4 linked regions of the Arabidopsis thaliana genome follow. The protein of the gene in region 3 interacts with the protein of the main gene of each other region in a pairwise test. Each region holds a gene or a part of one and is shown on either strand. Other genes may lie near its edges.

Region 1 (7,023 bases), on a different chromosome or scaffold from region 3:
TACAATTACAAATTCTATACGTAATTTGGAGTGAGACTCACTTTGGGATCTTATCCGAAGAACCATTCTCCGGTTGCCTGAAAAATTCAACCTTAACACCCTAAGCTTCAATATCCGTGGTGAAAGGAAAAACCCAGAAATGATAAAGATGTAAAAGAGCTGTCAGATAAAAAAACTAACGCAATAGGGACGTTTAAGACCGTGCTGGCCGAGGTCAAGCACCGGAGCTTGGGGACGAAGCAGCGATGCGACGGTTGTGTCGCCAGAAGCTTCTTACCTAACAGAGAAGACGTTAGAGGAATCCGAGAAGAAGACGAGGGAGATCCATTCTGTCTCGAAACAAAGATCCGAGGATTAGAGAGCGTCAAAGGGATAAAGGAGACTGTGTACGACGCCATTTTCACTCTTGAGGAATCAAAAGCTTTTGGTCGGGCTTTGGGTGAGTCAGTGAGATAGGCGATTATTACTCAGCTATTTTGCAAATGCGCCCCCCCCAGTTTATATAATTTATGAAATTTCGACTAGTATGAATAAACTTGAACTCATAACTCCCAAATCTTAAATTTCAATCTCAGGACAAACGAACCAACAAGTATAGTGGAACAAATTCTAATCCTAACTCACCGTGCCTAGCACAAATCTACAAGTGAGTTTATCTTTGAGTTTATCAGTAACCAAGAATCAGATTAATAGTATAAGTCGTGTAATATGCTCTCTCATCCTTTGAGTTTCAAACCAAGTCAAGTTGATGAGCTTTTCCTGTCTCTCCTTATGAGCTCCAAGACCATTTCGTTCCATGTATCGACTGGTCCTGGCATGCACCAGTGCAAGCAGTCCTGAGGTGGAGGCCGTCCGTCTGGTCCCCGTTTAGTGATCTTGTTAGGGTCAGGACTTCTGAATGGACCAGGATGACCATCATGGCGATATCCAAATGCCTCTGTGATATCCATCAGCTTTAGTTTTAGCTTCAAATTCTCCGCGACTTTATCGACGGCTTGGTTATATCCTGTCGCTTGCTTCTCATGCATTATCTCTGTGAATCCGTTTTTCACTAGCTTCCCTGGAAGGATGGGTTCTTCTTTCCCCGTGCATGATCCACCTGTGTTCCAAGCACCACCTTCGTAATGATCAGGTGAGAATGTTCTCACAATGGTCAAACCGCTGTAGTTCGGGTGTGTAGCCATGGACTTAAGGATTGTTTCAACTGATATTCCAAATGCATCCACGTTATTGACTTTCATGGGTTTTGATTTGTCTGGCCACCATAATTGGCCTCCCACGATCTCTTCTTTCAATATGTAGACAGACTGCTTTGCAAACCAGTGCCCTGATGAGAGGACAACCACGTCGAATTTCGGGATAGCTTCCATTATGCGCTCATCAGGAAGATCCAGCTTTAGTTTTGTGACACCTTCAGGAGCATAATCGAATTTTTCGTTGAACTGATGAACAAGCCAAGATGACCAAATACGGGCAATCATTACTGATGATTGCTTAAAATACCATCTCTGCATCTTTCGGCTCCCACGATTGACTGGTGTTTCAACCTGAAAACAGAAACCTACTTTAATATAATACATACGATCTCCTGAAGCTGAATAAAGCAACACAATAGATCCCTTATACCGGTTTTCACCATTAAATTGAATTACTTGCCTGCCAAAGAAGGCACAACATGGACTCCATCTGATTACGAGCTACTGAATCTCCTATAAAGGCCAGTGTCTTGCCTTTCATAAGTTCAAGAAATTTTCTGGCATCAAACCGAGGAAGCTCACACTGAGACGGTTTCCATCTCCAGTTCTCATATCCCTTGTCAGGTCTTCCATTTCCCTGGCAATTCTGCATCTGCGTCAGGACAGGGCAAGAGTTGTTCGTGTAGAGAGGTCCCCCAGGATCATAAAACCAACTACCTTGATACAAATCACACTCTACAAGCAATCAAAGATTTGAGTAAGCGACAAACTCATAACAGAAATATAAAACATCGAACAGCTAGAATCATGAGAAGCAAGGGAAACTGACAAGAACAGATCTATGAAACTGCTCTTCTTATTCCAATTCACCAAAACAGGTAGAACTCTCAACCAAATGCCCACAAAGCCTAGAAACTCTAACCCCTAAAACAAAATGCTGAGACCACCTTACAAGCCCAGCACTCACTATCTGCTCCCTAACCAAGTTTTTACTCTAATCTGCTATATTCAGTCCTCGGCTAGAATAATTACAGTAGGTCTATAGCTAAGAGTTTAGCCGCTGAATTTCTTTAAAACTTCTCAGAAACTTACGCCTTTCCATAGAAATGCAAAACTAAATGTTCTATAACATTCCCACACTAGCTTAGTCTTTGTTTATTGAAATTTAAGCTACCATAACTCAAAATGTTCCAAATACGACAAAAGCTACGGAAATAAGCGTTTAAAAGATAACAACAGTACCTGGTTCTGCTGAAGCAGTTTCAGAGACATCATCTGGAGGAGATGATGCACTTGGAGTGTCTTCAGCCTTGGAAACATTGGTTTCACGTTCACCTGATTGAACATCAGTCTTTTCAGTTATATCCGAAGAAACCAAATCCTCTTTTTCTTGTGTCAAAGGTGTCTCCAACTTCCTATCACTACTGAAATCTGGAGGTGGTATACTTTTGCTAACAACAACAGGTAAGCCAGAGCTAGAATCAGAAGTCAGATTTTTATCAAACGCATTGATGTCACTACTCTTCTGAAGGATATTGACAGTATGGTTGCTCAAAGATAAAGGGACATGAACTTGTTCAGGATTCCCTATCCCATAAAATATGCCACCAACTGAAGAACTATTCGGATACGAAAGACGAAGCAACAATCCGAAAACAAAGAATGATGCCAAACCACCAATAGCAATTGCAACTGTAGACACTTTCCGAGGAAATCCAGCCGCAGCTAATATAGAATTATTCCTAGGAGAACCAAAAGCCATGGTTTCTTCACTAGTAGATACCCAGAACCAATACAAGCAACAAGAACCAGAGCTTATAGGTGATAATTCAATATCAACATTATTCAAAATGTTATCTTCAGGGGCATGCAATACGCAAGTGAACTAAGTGAATCTGTTACTTGATTCAATCTTCCACTGGATCACAGATAAGATTTCACCTTCTTCAGGATCTGGAATCTGGAAGAGCAACACTATGAGCAAACATACTTAAAGGCGAAAGAAGAAAACAAGATGATCGATCTAATAAATCATCAAATAGCACAAATCCAGAATATAAATGTGAATCTAACTCAGATTCAGCTCAAATCATTACGTATTCAGATTTTCAGAAAAAAAACAAACAATTTTTCAGAAGATTATCTTCTTCACTAAGCAGATCCAAACGAAGAAGAAGAAGAAAGAGAATCTACGAACCTAGAGAAAATGATCCTTGTTGTCTTCTTGTAGGTGAAGCGAGCTCAGAAGATTCAGAAGAAATCCACAACAGTGAAGACGCGAAATCAAAAAATTAAACAAAGGTTAGTTATAGTTTTATTAGTTAATTGTTTTCCGGAAATAATCAAACGAATTTAGTGGTAATTTATTCCTTAAATTAATCATTTGTTTCTTCTTCCGGAGCCCATTAATGCCGTCTGTGATCTCATCGGCGCGTATACGACCACGCGATGATGTAAAGTTACGAAACTACCCTTCGGTCAACACCACCATAACATTGCGTATATTTCGAATTTTGTAACATTGCTAATATTTCGAATTGTTTGTTTGTCACTTCGCGTTATATGACACAACGATTGTTGTTTTCACATAAAAAAAAAAACCCTACTAGTCATCATCTAATGTAACACTCCAGCATATGACAAAATCGCCGAAATATTATTTATTATTATATAGGTAAAATAGAATTACAATATGCTCTTCTATAGTATATAGTAATCTAAAAAGTTGCATCATAAAATAAATTATTAGAAAAAGATCGAAAATAGGTGATATATCATATCATCATTACAATAGGTGTGAGTCGTCCGTCGCCTCTGACTGGTCCTTCCTTTCGGGCACGATAGCAGGCATAAGCCACTATCAGTGCGATGATGATTAATACACCGACTGAAATTCCAGAAATTGCGATAAACTTCATTGGATCAGTCCCCATGTTTGTTTTACCACACGCACCCAGAAAAAAGTTTATTTCTACTGTTTTTATTTTTTGTCATGTCTTCTTGTGACACAGTATGTTTACATTTATTTACAATTATTTACATTTCTGTTAATAAAGTCCGTGAAATTTGTAAGTTTTACATTTTATTATTTAAGAAAATTAACAAGGATGAACTGGAAAATTACACTTTAAAGAATATTAATTAGGAAGAAATAGAAATTATACATTTTTATGGTACTTTGTTGATCTTCATACCATCAAACTGGAAATTGTACATTTTAATAGAAAATTAACTATGAAAGAATAGAAAATTTACATACGTGAGCATGTAGTAATTTAAGGCTATCACAAAAATTCGACATTTTATTTCAGAATATTCTAAAATTTTGATATTTAGGTAGCACATTATCAAATATTGTAAAATAAAATAATGGCCAGGCTTATACGATTTGAGATTTGATTCGTATCCATGAATGCCATACTCGATGAGTAGTTACTGTTGTGTGTGTATTATAGTTTTTGCTAGTTAATGTTGTTTTTACTCCTACCGCATAAAATGAAATAATGAATCATCTATATATACATTTTTGCAGCCATTTTGTGAAATAAATCTTAGAGTTGGGACTTATTTACTAGGCTGCCATTGAGTATTAATTATTGATTTTTTTCCAGCAATAAATTGATTAATAAACTAAAAATATTCCAAATATATTCAGCAACTATTTAAAACAAAAAATGTTTGACAAACAAAAATATAATTGCAATCCCTTAAAATGAGCAAAACCCACCTAAATATATTCTTTATCTATCCAATAAATCTTTTTTCTCCAAAATTTGAACTAGATTTTGGCAACTATTTTAAACAAATATTTGTTTGACAAACCAAAATACAATTGCAATCCCGTAAAATATTTCTTTTAATTATATATTTAAATTAGCGGTGTACCGCGGTTTTTTTTTACGGGGCGGATTTGGCGAGACGGGTTTGGTAAGACGTTATTTAATAACAATTGTAAACTATAAAATAAAAATAAATAGATTTAATTTGCAAACTTTTATATATACTAATTTAAAAAATAAGTTGTCCGCGGGTTAAAATCTAGTCATGGTTATTTTAATTAGGTGAAATCAGCCTTGGATAATTTTAAAAACTAAAACCAATTGTTTGTAAGTAAAGAATTAATAAATTAGTGTAATTTCTAAGTTTTCAAATTATTATATAAATAAAATAAATAAATATGTATTTATAAGCACAAAAAAAGGAAATGGTGCGTATTCCTGGTACAATAGTTACTTGTCAGATCCCCATTTAAAACATCTCAAATTGGTTGAAAAAAAGTCACCAAAGAAAAACTAGATTAGCATCAAATGTTTTTAAAACTTTTAATTCTTCCATAACTCTTTCTAAGAAATAATTTAAAGAGTTAAATCAAATAATTCAAAAGTCGGTTGCTATTTATTAGCGTTAAGTATACGTACTTGTTTTCTTATTTTTCTACGTACTTGTTTTCTTTATGGACAACCGATATGTAGTTTGTAAAATTTGTTTGCTAAAAATGAAAAAAATTGGTCCGTAGAATATACAATGCCCAAATGACTCGCTTCTGAGCTGATGCAATACCAGTTGATGATACATTGTGGTCACTACACAGTGTAGAAGATACCAATTTGTTTTGTCAACGAAATGTAGAAGATACGGGTTTTGCATTGAATAAAAGACATTACACATTAGGTGGCGACAAAACAGAGAAGCTCAAAAGATAAAAGTGTAGAAGATACCAGTTTTTTTTGTCAACCGATGTAGAAGATACGATTTACGCGTATAGAGCCACCACCAAGGCATTGACCAAAACCTAATCATCTCAAGTGGGAACGTACGTTGATATATGTCATATAATAATTTAATAAGCACATTGACATGACATGTATTGATTGACTACAGATTTAATAAGCACATTGACATTTCACATGTCACATGCAGGGTTGATTATAAAAATATCTAGGATCCTAATCCATACCGAAAACAGGCCATAAATTTTATTGAACTATAATCAAACTTCTAGTTATATCAATAATTTATTGGCAATGGAAAATTACTCGATAGATGTAACATGCGTTTTGCACAAAAACGATGTAACATGCGTTGCTAACGTTACTTTTGCTTTAATTTCATAGTTTTTAAATTTTAATTTACAACTTATAAACCTTAATTAAGAATGATATATAACAAAACGATATCTTATAACAATTTCATATTTTTGTTAGTAATTTTTTAAGAGTTTTGACTTTTGATTGTCTGTTTTTTTTTTTGGGTATTTTTTTTTTATTGTTTAAAATTGTGGACGAAAACGAATTCATATTTTTGTTGGCTAAGTTAAGACTCAAGACCTGGTCTACCTCTCTAGAAAAACTTTCAGCATCACTCAAAACCCAAAAGTCAAAAAGTCACATTCTTCTTTCCAACTTTTGTTCCAAAGACAGAGAGAGGCCAAGATTCATAATTTGAGATTCTGACTGTAGACTTCGAGCAAGAAAAAAAAAGATCTGAAGGTTGAAGAATCATGAGGTTTGGGAAAGAGTTTGTGTCTCAGATGATCCCAGAATGGCAAGAAGCTTATATAGATTACGCTTACCTCAAAACCATTCTTCAAGACATCCAAGCTTCCCGGAATAGGTCAGATTCCAATAACCAGAGCAGTACTCCTTCCTTCGCACGTAACCTAACCAGACGGTACAACCGCGACGCCTTGGTCTCTGAGAATCACGACATTGTGGTCAACACTGTGACACGGCTCGAAGAAGGGCTCGAGACGGCGGCTTACGAGACTACGTTTTTAAAGGCCGGAGAAGCAGGTGGCGACTTTGAGGTTACCTTTTTTAGAACCCTA
Region 2 (5,710 bases), on a different chromosome or scaffold from region 3:
TGTGTTTTCCACAAAGGTTAGCTTCTGATTCCTGTTTTAAAGTATTTTCATCTGAACTTTTCGATGTTACTAAATTGAATGGGTGCAAATACATTTTTCTGCAAGTAAATTGGCCAGTGTATGACCTGCAAAACCTTGTTGGTTTGTATCCATGAGTGGCTATGATGTAGCAGAGTTCTCGATGTCTCCATATTTTGTTTGTAGTGATCGCATAAAACTAGAAAAATAGAGGTACTATAAGGATGCTAGTTTATCTTTTGTTCATTGTCACTCAAAGCATCTTTCGTCGTCTGGTATTGATCTTTTAATTGGTACTACGTTCTTGCTAATAATGTACATTGCTTGATTTAGTTGCGTAGTGTCATCTTTTCAACAGAATATTGAGGAAACTTACTCAGATATTTAAGATAGGCCTTGTCCTACAGTTCTTTGTTTGGTAAGAGAATAGTGAATCATGAACTAACTGGCCTCTGAATGGAAGTATCTAAATCAGATAGTGTTGGATACACCGAAACAGATTTAGTGTTAGTATTCTTCGAGTGTTATAACTGATTGAAAAAATCTTGTGAGTTCATATGTCAAAAGATTTAGCTAGTGATAGGTAAGTCAAATACGTAGATATTGGCAGTGTGTAATTAATTATACATGATCACCTCCTTTTTTTCGTAAGAGGGTTAAAGGTTTGATTCATGTCTGTTTTCTTGTTTACACTAAGAGTATGTCAGGTCATGTTGATACTTCATTAGACAAATGTTCTTGGATATTTTTGGTGTGAAGGCAGAGTTCTGTTAAAATGATGGATATTGGAATTAGGATTGAGACCTCTTACTATGTCTTCATCTTTGCAGGAAGGAGTACAACAACATGTGTTGGGTTTGTACATCATCAGAGGGGACAACATGTAATTCTTATCATCCATCATCATCAGTGATTTTCTAACATTGCAATTGTTTTTTTGTTTCAATAAAAAAAATGGTGTCATCTTTGATCAGAGGTGTTATCGGGGAGCTGGACGAGGAGCTTGATGCTAGTCTGGATTTTTCGAAGCTGAGAGCCCATCCGTTGAAACCCGTAGTGCATTGATTGAATATAGTTATGGTGAGAAAATCTAATTCTCTCATTCAAAGCCTAAAAACAAAGAGAAGATTTGATTGTAAACAATTTGGATAGTTTGTTTTGATGTCTGGAGTTGTCTTATTTGTGTATCCTAAGGACAAAAGCTATATGATATTTTATGTCTTAAACGTTTTGGTCGGAAACTTAAATCATACAATCTTTTGGACGGACCTAGGTTTGCTACTAGACCACAAATTCTTTGATTAGAAAAAAAACTTTTATTGTTAACCAAAATTTTATAGATATTCAAATTGCAAAAGAAAAAAAAAAGAGGAATTAGTTTCTGGTATCTTACAAATTATAATGTCGTTGCAATTTCATCTAGAAGGATTATATACATCATCAAATCTATCAACATCAACAAATGGCCGTATTTAAAACTTAGAAGCATCATACATTTTCTATAAGACAACAATATAGATATTAACTTAATATGTCATTCTCCCATAGTCGCATCATACAAGTCGTTGGTTTTGGTAATAACTCGCCAAAACCAAACACTTCTGATTTCATCGGAGTCTTGGGTCTTCTTTTACGATTCCAATGTAATATTCTTCATATTAAGTGATTTATTTCTTGAAATTTTTCATAGTAAGTGTTATCAGAAGCTTTTGATTTTTGGTTATTAATATGAAGAACAAAAGAATTGCGTTCTAAAAATTTTTCGTTGATAACGATTAATATTAAACAGAAACACTACAAATAAATTAACATCGTTGGGGCCTAGGGATTTCGAATGGAATTTTATTTGCAAAAAAAATAATAAAATAAAGCATGTTAACAAAAAAGTAAAAGAAAAAAAATTCATGACGAAATGCATGAGAACACTGCTGCATAAGTCTTAGGGGATTAGGTCAACAAAAGTAAAGTAGATCTTCATCAAATGTATTTTGACTTTATAATGTACCTATTAGTCAAACTATATGCGATCTAAATATTAAAAACTTGTATTTTCTCAAAGACAATGCGAGGCGTAAATATATGAAATTTTATTTTGTAGATTAAGTACCATTTATATATGAAATATAAATAAATCAAGAAGAGTAAACATGAAAGAGCAAAAGAGTAAATAGAAAAAATTATAGGAAATAAAAAGAAACAAATAGTAATTGGAAAATATCTTAAGTGGATATAACTTTTAGTTGTTTGATAATGTATAGGACTACAATATATGTATTTTCCAAAAAGTCATCCTAATTTTTCCATCTATATTGCAAGTAATTTGATACCTACTAATGATTTTTATTTTTTTTATTTGATGGGTTCACATCAAACTCAATTTCCATAAAAGACCGCTACCTAAGCAGACACGCAAATTCACATTACACGTGTGATGTGTTGTATGGAAGCGAATGTACTTGTTTTTCATAATCTATAGGTTCATATAGAGAAGTCTCTCCATTGAAAAGTTCTTCCCTCTTGACTTTAAAAACTCCATAAGGTCCCTACTTATATTAATTTCCCAAACCCCTAAATAAGATCTACAAACAAAGCTTCTTCTTCTTCTTGGTGTCATCAAGATTTTCCAAAAATGTCTCAACACCAAAAAATCTATCCGGTCCAAGATCCAGAAGCCGCAACAGCGCGTCCAACAGCTCCTTTGGTTCCTCGTGGTTCCTCTAGATCAGAACATGGAGACCCATCCAAAGTCCCTTTGAACCAAAGGCCACAACGGTTCGTGCCGTTGGCTCCTCCAAAGAAGAGAAGAAGTTGTTGTTGCAGATGCTTTTGCTACACGTTCTGCTTTCTTTTGCTTCTTGTCGTTGCAGTAGGCGCATCCATTGGTATACTATACCTTGTCTTTAAACCGAAGCTACCGGATTACTCTATTGACCGGTTACAGCTCACCCGGTTTGCACTGAACCAAGACTCGAGTTTGACTACGGCTTTTAACGTGACTATAACCGCTAAGAATCCGAACGAGAAGATTGGAATTTATTATGAAGATGGGAGCAAGATTACCGTGTGGTACATGGAACATCAACTAAGCAATGGTACGTCACTTTTGGTTTACTCCGGTTTGCTTTCTTTTGGTTTTTTAACGTAGGAAGGCTTCAAAATCTCACTACAAAACCGGTTTATTTGGTTGATTTCTGTTCTTTTCCTTTGGTTTGGTTCGTACACAAGGAAGACTTTAAAACTCTTTTCAAATTAGGGATGTCTAAATTTTTTTGGTTGGCTTTGGGTTTACTTTCATTTTGGATTAGGATTGTCAAATACTGTATATCTTTAGTTTCAAACAAAATTTGGTTTAGATAGTTTTTGTTCGGTTCATATTCAATAGTTCGGATATAATAGAGTTAATTCATTCAAATCAATCGTTTTTGGTAGAGTTGGATCATACCGGTTTATCCGGACTGAAAACCCCAAAACTAAACATATTTATTTATGTTGTTTGGTTTTCTTGTTTGATTATAATTCGTTTACACCATTTCAAACCGGGTCTTCTTATAGATTTAACTTCATTGAACTTTTGTGATTTTTTTGAATAGGGTCGTTGCCAAAATTTTACCAAGGACATGAAAATACGACAGTGATATACGTAGAAATGACTGGTCAAACACAAAATGCATCGGGTTTAAGGACGACATTAGAAGAGCAACAACAAAGAACCGGGAATATACCATTGAGAATTAGAGTAAACCAACCGGTTCGGGTCAAATTTGGGAAGTTGAAGCTCTTCGAAGTAAGATTCTTGGTCAGATGTGGTGTATTTGTTGATAGCTTGGCTACCAATAATGTTATTAAGATTCAAAGTAGTAGTTGCAAATTTCGTCTTAGGTTATAGATCCGTTTTTTTTTATATAATTAATATCGAGATATACAGAGGGAATTTTGTCAGATATAGTCACATACTCATATATAGTTCTCCTCTAAAGTACATTATTGTGTCTCAGACCTTTGTTGTATAATAAACTGTTGGTTTAAATTAATATATTAAAGTATACAATACTATGTACATAGGTGGAATTCAAAGTATAGTAGTTGTAAGTTTTTAAAACCAGAGCATGTCCACCACTCCACCTTACCTTCTTTTAAGCAAACAATTGGTTGAAGGTAGACTCCAAAATTCAGTTTTAACTACTTACAACTTAAATTGGAGGTAACTCCAAGATCTTAGTTATGAATTCAAATTTGCATTAGATTTACTTGTTCCAACAATTACTTCTGGTATTCTAAAGCAAAGACCAAACTCAATAAATAAACCTTATGGTAAGACATTCCAAGCAACATGAAAGAGATAATAAAGAGACATAGATATATAGAACAAACTGAATTTTTGCGAGAAGAGAGAGACATGTAGAAAAGAAACGCTAAAAGAACTTACACAAAGAAGATTCATGTACTTAACTTGTGACAGTCCTCTGTAACAATTTGAGAACTATCCTCATGAAGTAAGGTCCTGAATCAAAAGTACAAAGAAACAAATTCCTAGTTCAAGTTATATACCAAACCGAAGTCTTTGTAGTTGTACAACCAGTTTCAGGAGGAAGGCTACCTTTGAAAGGTATTGTAACACTGGCTAGAGAATGAGCATAATGTCGATAATTTTTCTTTTGATGAAAAAAGATTTAGAGAATGGCAAAAAATATAATATATGCGCTCATATTGGTGGTAAGTCATATATCTTTCTATTATTCGTTACTATATCATAAGCTTTGTATATTATTTGGCCAAAAAAAAAAAGATTTGTATATTGTAGTTTGACTAGAGAAAAACAATGAAATGTGTCGGATTTCAAATTTGACAAAGAAAACTCTACTTAAAGTTCACAACTGAACGGTAAGTTTCATTAGGTTTCCAATTCGCCGGAATAACATTATAAGCTAGGACTACTTTATGAGATTCAGCAGAAGTAAGTCTGATGTTGAATGGTCCTGTTAGAGGACTGCCAGAGCTGATCTTCCATACAGCAGACCTCATTTCTTGCATGGGGATGAATTCTCCGTCGGCTGGTTGAATTTCTATATAGGCCAAATCTCCATCACCGTTTTCATACTCGACAACAAATGAAATGTAGTACGGATTTGCTCCAGGGTCCATACGGAAAGCTATGTTAGTTCTTCGATATAAACATTCCACGCTGATCAAAAAACAATAGTCAATATTTTGATTCGTATATCATAGAAAATAGTTGAATTTTAATTAAATAATATTTCTGTAAAGATAATAACAAAAATGAAAACATTGATTTCTTTGATTTATCAAAAAAAAAAAATTCAACTCAAAACCTAGATATACATACTAAAAGGAAAAATTTTAAAACAAAAATTATGTAAGTATATAAGTACCGTCTGTAGTAAACACGTAGAACACCAGCCGATCGAAGTCGATCGCCTTGGCCAGGTCTGGCTAAGGCACCCATGGCTTTGCCGCTAAGATCAAAGTGGGCTGGTTCAGAGGCACAAGGACCACCAGGGCATTCGTCGGTTATCGTCACCGTTATTGGTCTCCTCGAGCATGCTGGATGCCCATTGCATAGAATCTGATAAATAAAAATGTTAACATATACTATATAGTTGATGAAAGTAAAATCTTGTTGTAACCATATAACATACATTCAGATCTTGCATGCTATGTCAATTTTTTTTCC
Region 3 (5,541 bases):
ATCTATTTACTCGGTAACTAATTTAGTTTGATCCTTCAAGAAATTTCTCAAGTTTTCTTGTGCATGTTTCTTTTTACATCGAGGGCATTTTGTGAGAGGTGATATATATGTTATTAACTTCATTCATTTGAAACCCTACAATACCATTTCTTTGTTGTTGTTATGACAACAGAATCTGATCAGTTGAAATCAAGACGAGCAGATACATGATGAAAATCGAACAAAACAGAGGAAGAACAAATGCGGTGAAACAACAGATACAAAGTCAAGTAATAAATACAAATATAAGCTTCAAGATGTTGCAAAATCTACAAAATCCAATAAACACTCCTTAGAGGTCTAAACAAAGAGCCTTGACTCAATAGAACAGTATCAGAGTAAGACTTTCCAGTAAGAAAAGAAAAAAACATTCTAAGAATAGTAACAGTATCAAACTCTACATTGCTGCATTCACAAACAAGTGTAGGCAATACTATTCTACAACAAAAAAAAAATACAAAAAATCAGAAGATCTAAATAAAAAACTAGAGATGAAATCTATGGTTCATGTGATGTGATCTGATGTTTCCTACTTGGACCTCTCCTGGTACAAAAATACACAATCTTGATGTCAAAATCTCAAATAATTTAGTTTTTTTTGTGTGTGAAAAGATTGGAAAATATTTGATCGTGTACTTACTTGTTCTGTATGGGGCTATAGCGACTCCTCGGGATTTTCCGTAAGCTATCTCCTTCACCTCCAAGAGACTTCTGCTTCATCTCTTTGCTTATTTGCAAATCTCTCAAATCTCTATGTCCCTCTATGTGAAACTTGCTGCTAAAGAAAGCTAACAAAACCAGAAACAGAGCTATTGAGATCGATCTTGATGGATGGAATCTCTTCATTTGTGAATTCTCTTTTAGGTCTTGAGAAAACTTTTAGGTAGAAATATGATGAGTTAAAGTCTTAAAGAGAAGGAGATAGAGAAAGACAACTTGTAAAGCTTGTTGGCTTTGTAAGATATGTATGTATTGTCCTGCGACTTTTTTTGAGATCTGATCACGTGAATTAATTTTTCTTCTCCGAATCATTTATTTCAGATGCTGAGATATTTTTTTTATCTTAATCAACTAATTTATGGAACATTCACTGATGTTGAGAGTGTCCTCACTTTCATACAAGCACATGTATACACGTTTATTTATGTGTTTACCAATATTAGTAAATCCAACTTCATGAGATCTCAAAAGTTGCAGGTAAAACATTAACAGGCTGTGTTTTGTCTCTATGCTAATTGCTAAGGCATCAACATTATTTTCATTCATTTTTATTTTTGTTTTCCTAACAAGCTTTATAGGGACGACTGGACGAGCGAGAAGAAGACAGTCAAATATTTGGGACTTGAGTCACTTGCATGGGAAAATTGCAAAACAAAATTTTCATATATTTGAGAGTTTGAGTTTTACGTACTAGAGAAAGTTTTATAAAATTTAAGATCTTCTTCTAATCAAACATATTTTTAACAATGTAAACTAATACAAATTTTCAATAATTATTTGCATTAAAATCGGAAACTAATAAATAATAAAAAGAATATATCTTTGTCAAATTGTTTTAGGTGAAGCTACTACTACTATACCTTGGAACTTTTTCATTAGCATGGGCTGCGTTTCTTTTACAACTGGCACAATTTTGAAAAAGTGAAACTTATATATATATATATATATATATATATATATACTTTTTTTTTTATATCCACTTTTTATGAGAACGTTATGATGTAAACAAAAGAACTTTAAAATATACACACCTAAAAATCGTATTTAAGCTAAATCTTGCTGGAGTAATAACTATGTTAATCAAACCATTATATGGACAGCTTGTTTGATCAATCTTTGACCATGATAGTGTCAATCCCCCAATGATCCCGTAGAGGCTAATTAGCAATTCCTTAATTTTTTATCGTTCGGATTTATTTATTTTTGTTCAAATTACCGGTCGAATTGTTTTTCTTTTCTGAGCTCATATTTAGTGTTTTTAGTGTTTTTGAACTCAAATTACCGGCCGGATTTTTTAGTGTTTTTAGAATTAGCTCATAAATCTGAACTCATATTTAGTGTTTTTCTTTTCTTTTAAATTCAAAAGACATTTTATTTTATGAGAATACTAAAAACCATACAATGTACATATGATATCCCTTTTTTTTTATAAAGGAAAATAACCATGAAAAAATAGAAAATACAAAAGATGGTTTTATGGGAGATTTGCCATTTATGAAAAGGGAGAAACCATTGTGATTACTAGAAACAAAAAAAATATCGTGATTTTTAGAACATTTTTTTTCTTTGATTAATTTGTTACATTTCTTGTGTTTGTTTACAAAACCGAATTGTAAACAGAACCAGCCAAGCGCGTCTGCTTAATTGGGATTTGTTCCCGGTTTAAGTAAACCAACTCCTTGCTATTCTTTTTTAATCCCTCGCAGAATTTCTCATCCGATTTTCACAAACTTTCCTCGGATCTGGTCACGAATTGCTTTGTGTAACAAATTCAAATTCCAAACCCAAGCAAGCCTCCATTGAACTGGTACACGGATAAATTTTTTCTAAAGCTTTTCTTAGATTTCTCTCAATGCGATTTTGTTGAATTTCTTGGTTTCAGTCGATCGAATCAAATGAATTGCCGATTAGATGTTTTCTTAACATAATTTCTAGGATTTTGATCGAATTGCTGGTTCGTGATCGAGTGATTTGTCTGGATTAGATTTTAAGTTTTATGCAAATCTTGTTGAAAGGTGCTTAACTTTTGATTCAAGTTTTACTTAAGAGCCAAATTATAGGTCAATGTCATGTAGATTACTATTAATTCTTGAGTAAACTGGTTTAAATATGTTTTTGTATATATGTTCCAGATTAGAAGTTGATATTGATATAATTCAGCAAAGAGAAGAAGATTCTGCGGTGTTCTTGGTCACTTTGTGGTTTGTATAATGGCGTCTGGGACAGTGGGAGGGTTGTCTGAGGTATATAGTAGTGCAAAAAGGATTCTACTAAGAGCTCGGAATGGAATCGAGAAGTTGGAGAGGTTCGACTCTGATCCTACCGACCTCGCCTCCTCCGTGAAACGAGACATTACCGAGGTTCAATCTCTTTGTTCCAATATGGACGGTCTCTGGCGTTCGATCCCTGTCAAATCCCAGCGTGATCTTTGGAGAAGGTGAGGAAGTTTAGATCATCAAAATAGCTGAAGTAGTGGTTAAACTCTTGAGCATTTGGATTTTTTTTGCTGTAGGAAGAGTGAACAAGTAGGAGAAGAGGCTGAGTATTTGAACCAAAGTCTAGAGAAGTACATGTGGAGGAATCAGAGGAAGATGTTGGAAGCTAAAGAGAGAGCGGATTTGTTAGGTAGAGGGAGTGGAGAAGGAGCTCACATTTTGCAAATATTTGATGAGGAGGCTCAAGGAATGAACTCTGTTAAGAATTCAAAGAGAATGCTTGAAGATTCGTTTCAAAGTGGAGTTGCTATTCTCTCTAAATATGCTGAACAAAGGGATCGTTTGAAGGTAACCAAACCCTAACTTAAGCTTTAAGTCAATGAAGAAAACAGTTTTTTAACATTGGGTTTTTGAATTCTCAGAGTGCGCAGAGGAAGGCTTTGGATGTTCTGAACACTGTTGGGCTCTCTAACTCTGTATTGAGGCTCATTGAGAGGCGTAATCGTGTTGATACCTGGATTAAATATGCGGGTATGATCGCAACGCTTGTCATATTGTATCTCTTCATAAGATGGACACGCTAGAACCAGAGAACTTTAATTACATTACCATAGATTGTATGGAGAGAGTTTTGTAACACGTTTTTTTGTTTTGTTTATACCTCTTACAAGACATTTTCAAAACACTAGTACACATATTCTCCATTTCATTTGCGTCTAGTATGCTCTCGATTTATGCCAACTTTTCTTCCCCAACTTTTGATGTGTTCCTCCTATATCCGAGAATGATGTATTGCTCGCAGTGTAAGAGAACTTGTTCAAAACTTCTCCGAGACTGCAATCGTTGTTTAACACAGAAGCTACTACATTTGTTTGGGTCATTGCTTCGGCGACTAACATGAGCTTCAAGACAGTTCATATTTAAAGTGATTCGAAACAGTTGACTTTAGCATCATTGTATTAATGGTCAATGTTTTTTTTTGACCAAAATAGTCAATTCCCCAAAGGTCTGATTATGACAAATACCGAACCGGGATAGGATAATTATAATTAAATACAGAACCGACTCAACTGGAATAATTTTGATCCGGTTAAAGGAAAACCAATCTCCTTTTGATATTTCGACACTCTCTCTTTCCTCTCTCCTTGTCTCTGTACCGCGTCGAAATATGAGAAACGAATGATTTGATCATCAATCAACGAGAAACACACACGGAGAAAGAGAATCTCAAATTAGCTCCAGCTCCTGATCGATTCCGATTTTCACAATTCTTTCCTTGGATCTGCTCTTACCTTGTCACGATTTCACTTCCCTGTGTTTTTGATTTATACTTGGTCATCCAATAACGAAACTTTGATCAAACTGGTACGCCGATTATTTTCTTTCTTTCTTCTGATTTTCTTAGATTTCATTAACTTGATTGACTCAAAATCAATAGGGATCTTTAGGGAATATTCTTTGATATGTTTTGGAATTTTATCTGATTGCAAAATATTTGTGTGTATGTTTGTTTTGTTTAATTGGAATTTTAAGTTTTTTTTTTTGTTTTCATCACAATTTCATGGGTTTAGGCAATTTTGTTGAACGGTGATCTTTTTTTGTGTGTGTGTATCAATTTGTCAATTTGTATTTAGAACAGATACTTTAAGAAGTGTTGCTTCTCTATATGTGACTTGAGATTGTAGTAATAGCTTAACTATACGGCAATGTCATGGAGTAGATTATACATGCTTGTTCATGTCAGTTTTCCAGATGTATGACTTAAGCAGGATGGTTTCTTTATCGAAGATGACCTTAATTTGGTTTATGTTACTGTCATTCATTTCATACTTAAAGGTTGGATTATATTTTCTACAGTTTACAATTCGTTGTTTTGGTTGACAGGAACTACAGTTTATTGGAACTCCCTGAAGCATTTAGATGGCAGAAAAAGCTTGTATAAAGCGTCTTCAAAAAGAATACAGAGCGCTTTGCAAGGTATTATTTTCTTCTTATTCTGTTCCCATCCTTGATTTGTCTGTCACTGGTATCATTCTACCCATTCGATTTTCATTTTTTTTTTTATCAAATGTGGTTTCTTTGCTCTATGCTAGTTTTCATGGTTTTTGGTCTAGGATAAGTTTTTTTCTTATGAATGTTACTTTGGAAGTATCTTTGACATGTTCTGTTCTGGATTGCTAGGAACCAGTCTCGCATGTTGTTGCTCGTCCTTCCCCAAATGACATTCTTGAATGGCGTAAGTCTTATCTGGCTATTTAATGTTCCTTTTCTTTATTTTCTGCTTTCTAGTTATTCTATTGAAGGTTTGGCTATGGGGATACTGGCTTTAGGTACATATAGCGTGTTG
Region 4 (5,185 bases), on a different chromosome or scaffold from region 3:
ATTTTTTTCGCAAAATAAAATAATATGAAATTTATTTTGTTTAAGAAAATTGAACATAAAAATTGTTAACAAGAAAAAAAATAAATAGAAATCTCAGTTTTCTTCCTGGCGAAACATAATCCTCCTAGCTTTCGCTCCTGCAAATTCATTCATCAATTTTTGGTAATCGAGCTTCTCAACCAGTTCTTGTTATACAGATATCAGCGCCAAACCATTCAATCGCTCTTGAGACATAGTCGAACGTAGATATTTTTTTATGAGCTTTAATTTTGAAAAAGTTCTCTCCGCCAAAGCAACTGAAACCGGAATGGTGAGTAGTATACGATAAGCGATCCATGTGTTTGGATAACAGCTATCCATTATTTTCAAAAATTTCAACACTTCGACCGGCTTTGTAATCTCTTTTGGCAACACATCTTTTAAAAGTTTCAGCTCCATAAACAGATCTTCTCCATCAACATCTGAATGCACATCATGCTTCAAAGAAGCTTCAAGCTTCATACACGATGTCCTTAACTCATCATCTTCTGCTACCTTCAATCTCTTTACACCAAACAAAAATCCAAATATTTGTTCATATACTTGGAATTGCTCGAATCTTATCTCAATACACATTATAGCTTGATCCATTATATTGATGAAGTAATCAATTCTAAAACTCTCCTCTGCAATCTTACTTTCATCAATCTTCTCAACATCCTCAACAAATTGCTTTTTTTTTTTCACCGACTTTTTTGGAAATACCGGCGCAATCTTCATCTCAATGGCAATTTGTGTAGATTCAACTTTGGCTTTCTCGAAACCTGTTTCTTTGTAGTTTTTCAAATAAGTAACAAGCCCTCCTAACTGAGAAATAGCAACCTCAAGATCCATATCCTCAAACTGTAAGGATTTGCTTACTATATTCACAGCAGCTAGCAAATCGTACCAAATTATCATTCCAAATAAAAATTCAAACCCTCCAATTCCATGTGTTTCACTCTCTGTAAGAGACTCAACATCACTCCGGTGTCCTGGATTATCAGTGTATTCTGCCAAATAAAAAAGTGCATCTTGTATCTGTATCTTTGAAGCTTAATATCTTATTGGTTTAAGACTATCAATGCGGCTTTCCCAACGCGTTTGAGACAACGGTTTAAGTGTAATACCATTCACTGTTTCTCTAAACACTTCCCAATTGTTGGTTGAAGCTTCAAACAGACAATGTATTCGCTGAACAATTCCAAAAAAAGAAACAGCTTTCTTGGATGATGAAGCCATATCACAAAGTGCAAGGTTAAGACCATGGCATCCACATGGAGTGTAAAATGCTCTTGGATTTATATCAAGCAACCTTTTCTGAACTCCTTTATGTTTTCTCTTCATATTTTGTCAGTTGTCGTATGCTTGTCATCTTACATCATCAATATTCAACTTAAGATCAATCAATGCATCTTGAAGAGTCTTAAAAAGCCCCTCACCCCTCTTATCTTTGATGTGTAGAAACGTCAAGAAGAACTCCTCAATCTTAGGTGAACACGTTGAAACATCCACACATCGAATTAAGAAGGTCATTTGTTCTTTACGACTAACATCCGGAATGGAATCAAGAATGACTGAAAAATACTTCGCATCTTTAATCTTCTTTAAGATCATCATCTTGGTATCATTAGCAAGTAATTCTGTCAATTCATTCTGACTCTTATGACTGGGAAAATGGCAATGAATTTCACCTTTATTAGCCCGCCGAATGTGTTCCTTCATATCCGAATTAAAACCTCCAATCATTCTAATAAATGCCAAAATATTTCCACTATTTGGATCATCAACATTCTCTTTAGTTCCACAAAATGCTAAATTTTGTTTAGCTAGAGTCTTTACCACTGCAATTATTCTCACCAATACATCTCTCCAATGTTTTTTCTCCTTCTTAATTGCCTATTCCATATGGTTATCAATTGTTTTACTCTTTTGTAATCTCACTTCTAGCTCCATCCAATGAGTCATGGAAATAATATGACGATGAGTTGTTTCATGTCTTTTCAGCCTTTGCGCAGCATTTTTCCAGTCATTATACCCACTACTTGCTAACAATGTAGGATTTGTTTCTTGATCGAATAATTAGAGAGAAATTCGATCCGCTGATTTTTGAGGAATATTTGAATTTTGATTCTAAAAATAAGTGAATTCGAGTTTTGGTGACAAAGCAGCGCATTTGTTAGCTGATTGTATTTTGATTATTGATGCTATATAGACATAGATTTGTGCGAAAATTGAGGAACAAGAGAGAAATTTGATCCGCTAATTTTTGAGGAAGATTTGAATTTCGATTCTAAAAATAGATGGATTAGATCTGCAGCGTTTGTTAGTTGAATGTGTTTCGATTATTGATGCTAAATATACATAGATTTGTGCCAAAATGAGGAATTAGAGAGAAATTCGATCCGCTAATTTTTGAGGAATATTTGAATTTTGTTTTTAAAAATAGATGGATTCGAGTTTTGGTAACAATCGGCGGTGTTTGTTAGTTGATTGTGTTTTAATTATTGATGCTAAATAGACATAGATTTGTGTAAAAATTGAGGAACTGAGAGAAATTTGATTTGCTAATTTTTGAGGAATATTTGAATTTTAATTCCAAAAATAGATGGATTCGAGTTTTGATAACAATTCGCAGCGTTTGTTAGTTGACCATGTTTCGATTAATTATACTAAATCGACATAGATTTGTGGAAAATTGAGGAAATAGAGAGAAATTCGATCCGCTAATCTTATATGAATATTTGAATTTCGTTCCAAAAATAGATTATTTAGAGTTTTGGTAACAATCAACGGCGTTTGTTAGGTGATTGTGTTTTTATTATTGATGTTATATAAACATAGATATTTTGATCGGAGTTTTGATCGGCGACGATGGAGAGAAACGTCGAGAAGATGCTGAAGAGAGTATCAATAGTGTTCTTAAGCATCGGAACAGTATTAATGGTAATTATGATTCTCCAGACACCAAAAACTTGTATTTCTCCAGAAGCTCCATCGAAACCTCATACGCATTTCCCGAGATCTACATGCGATTCATCGCCTCGTCAGCATCTTCCTCTCCCAAAGAAGAACGCTCGAATCTGGTCCTCTGGAGCTTGGAAATCTCGTCTATACTCCTTCTCTACCTACTTCCTCCGATTTCGCGATCTCGGATTCATTCAAAATCACACCAAAGCTCTCTGTCTCTCCGCCGGAGCAGGCCATGCTCTGATGGCTCTTTCTCAGATCGGATTATCTGATGTTACCGCAGTTGAATTGGTTGATTCGATTCCTCTTGTGAAAAGAGCTGATCCTCATAACCTTCCGTTTTTCGACGGTGTCTTTGATTTTGCCTTCACTGCACATCTAGCTGAAGCTCTGTTTCCGTGGCAGTTTGTGGAGGAGATGGAGAGGACGGTGAGACGTGGCGGATTTTGTGTGGTTTCGGTTGATGAATGTGGTGGAGATGATGTAAGAGACATTGCTAGGCTTTTTCATAACTCCAAGGTCGTTGATGTTGCTAATGTAACCTTAGAAGGATCCAAAAAGACTAGTATACTATTCAAAGTTCAAGACTCTCCTACCTGAGGTGTTTTATTTCTCTTTTGATTTATAGGCCCTTTCCGGATTCTCAGAAAACTGCTTCAATATTCATAGAGTGGAGCTAGATTTGTTTCTGTTGAAATTCACTTACATGTTTGAAAAGCAGGAGATTTAACAGATTATGTGGTAACATTGTTCAAAGACCATGACCATATTTGTTCTGGATCCTAAAGCAATGTTTTGTTGAGGGAAGCTGCGATGTTTGTTGCGAGTTCAAGATCCAGAACAAAAGCTTTCTACAGGTTAATATCTTTTTTTTTGGAAGTTGGTCTCTGAGCTAAACAATTCTTAGGAACCTTGGTCGCTTTTGAAACAAGTAAAGAACTTTCAACAGCTTTTGAAGACTTTAGTGTGTGATGAAAGAAAGTACTTTCTTTCCAGGTGAGGTTCACGTTTCAATCTGTTAGAGCTCTCCTGTGTACTATTTGTGAGTTAAGTAAAATACTCTTTAGTCATTTTGTATACTTAGAAAGAACAAAATTCTTATTGGTGAATAAAAGGCTCTTACTAAAAAAAAAAAAAAAAAAAAAAAAAAATTTTCTCTCAAGCAAGATAACCAAGGTAGCCGCAAGCCTTGTTCGTGATTAGTTCTCTTCACCGGCGTTGCTCCTCTGACTGCCTGCGTTCCTGATTGTAGCTACTACTAAAGTGAGATCTCTCCAATGAATCTACTTTTCCGGTGGCGTAATTGTTTTCCGGCGAGTCTTTCACTTGAAATGACTTTCCTTTTTCTCTCGAATGCGAGCCACTCTCGTCGCTTACCGTCGTCTTCGGTCGCCTTCCTCCTTCTGAGGCCACCTTGTGCACCACCACCAGAGCCTCCATCTCCGCCGACTCCACCGGAACCACCGGATCCACCAGATTCTCAGATCTGCTTCACTTTTGCTGATTCTTATGCTCAGTCGTTGAGCTCCTCTTCCCTCCCAGATTTGGTCTCGCTCATTCTCCATATCTCCTCCGCCATATCTGAATCTCCGTCACCGACCTCTTCGATCACTGATTTTTTCATTGATGTTTTCCTTCTCGCCGACGACACCACTTTTCTTCCTCAGTATTTCCCTCAGGTTTGCTCTTACTCTTCGCCGTATGTTTCTTCTAAGATTGGAAGGGTTTGGTTGTTGATAGAGTTTGTGGCTCTGGTTTTGTGGAATTTGGGTTTGTGTAATTCATATGTAGCTTATCTAGTTTCGATTGGCTTGGATACTTTTGTGCTCTCTTGTAGCACCTCTATCGCTTTGATGCGATCACTTACCACAATATGTGGATGTCTTAATTCGCCTTTGTTAAAAGTTGTCTCATCGCAGCTTAGACAGAATGTTTTGGATACTTTTGTGCTCTCTTGTAATACCTCTATCGCTTTAATGCGATCTTTTACTGCAGTATGCGGATTCTATCTCGATTTGTTTTTGTTAAAAGTTGTCTCTTCGCAGCTTAGACGGAGGGCTTTGATTTCAGACAACCTACCAGTTTTTCTGGTTCATTGGGGATTTCATAGCCCTCATCTCTCCTTTATGGAGCTTTTTATCCTCTCAAATACTTCACTTGTGTTTAGTGATAAAGTTACAGGGAGCATTGTGTGCAA

The links.
Region 1: the proteins of MEMB12 (region 3) and TBL18 interact in a protein complementation assay, tested with the Arabidopsis thaliana proteins (one large-scale study listed by BioGRID).
Region 2: the proteins of MEMB12 (region 3) and AT1G65690 interact in a protein complementation assay, tested with the Arabidopsis thaliana proteins (one large-scale study listed by BioGRID).
Region 4: the proteins of MEMB12 (region 3) and AT2G16030 interact in a protein complementation assay, tested with the Arabidopsis thaliana proteins (one large-scale study listed by BioGRID).

The regions. Positions count from the first base shown.
Region 1 is NC_003075.7:12,966,122-12,973,144, reverse strand, and holds TBL18 (TRICHOME BIREFRINGENCE-LIKE 18), read right to left. Parts: upstream 3,587-7,023; 5' UTR 3,394-3,586; exon of another isoform or gene 3,157-3,393; 5' UTR 2,959-3,156; coding exon 2,439-2,958; intron 1,932-2,438; coding exon 1,657-1,931; intron 1,548-1,656; coding exon 741-1,547; 3' UTR 501-740; downstream 1-500. Other genes in the region: AT4G25370 (Double Clp-N motif protein), read right to left, coding at 42-77, 181-398; SHB1 (EXS (ERD1/XPR1/SYG1) family protein), read left to right, coding at 6,697-7,023. UniProt on the Arabidopsis thaliana protein: May act as a bridging protein that binds pectin and other cell wall polysaccharides. Probably involved in maintaining esterification of pectins. May be involved in the specific O-acetylation of cell wall polymers.
Region 2 is NC_003070.9:24,429,836-24,435,545, reverse strand, and holds AT1G65690 (Late embryogenesis abundant (LEA) hydroxyproline-rich glycoprotein family), read left to right. Parts: upstream 1-2,380; 5' UTR 2,381-2,647; coding exon 2,648-3,110; intron 3,111-3,608; coding exon 3,609-3,904; 3' UTR 3,905-4,129; downstream 4,130-5,710. Other genes in the region: LSM8 (Small nuclear ribonucleoprotein family protein), read left to right, coding at 1-16, 360-436, 718-769, 849-901, 993-1,083; EXPB6 (beta expansin 6), read right to left, coding at 4,876-5,200, 5,409-5,602. UniProt on the Arabidopsis thaliana protein: Plays an important role in the abiotic stresses-induced abscisic acid (ABA) signaling and biosynthesis. Acts as a positive regulator of ABA-mediated seed germination inhibition. Functions downstream of ABF2/AREB1, ABF4/AREB2 and ABF3.
Region 3 is NC_003076.8:20,535,881-20,541,421, reverse strand, and holds MEMB12 (membrin 12), read left to right. Parts: upstream 1-2,425; 5' UTR 2,426-2,566; intron 2,567-2,862; exon of another isoform or gene 2,863-2,891; 5' UTR 2,892-2,969; coding exon 2,970-3,196; intron 3,197-3,271; coding exon 3,272-3,542; intron 3,543-3,616; coding exon 3,617-3,778; 3' UTR 3,779-3,996; downstream 3,997-5,541. Other genes in the region: AT5G50443 (uncharacterized protein), read right to left, coding at 538-583, 680-885; UBC33 (ubiquitin-conjugating enzyme 33), read left to right, coding at 5,115-5,171, 5,376-5,430. UniProt on the Arabidopsis thaliana protein: Involved in transport of proteins from the cis/medial-Golgi to the trans-Golgi network.
Region 4 is NC_003071.7:6,972,599-6,977,783, reverse strand, and holds AT2G16030 (S-adenosyl-L-methionine-dependent methyltransferases superfamily protein), read left to right. Parts: upstream 1-2,776; 5' UTR 2,777-2,892; coding exon 2,893-3,588; 3' UTR 3,589-4,111; downstream 4,112-5,185. Other genes in the region: AT2G16040 (hAT dimerization domain-containing protein / transposase-like protein), read right to left, coding at 190-1,031, 1,461-1,767; AT2G16020 (uncharacterized protein), read right to left, coding at 4,198-4,428; AT2G16019 (uncharacterized protein), read right to left, coding at 4,502-4,612; AT2G16018 (uncharacterized protein), read left to right, coding at 4,266-4,667, 5,164-5,185.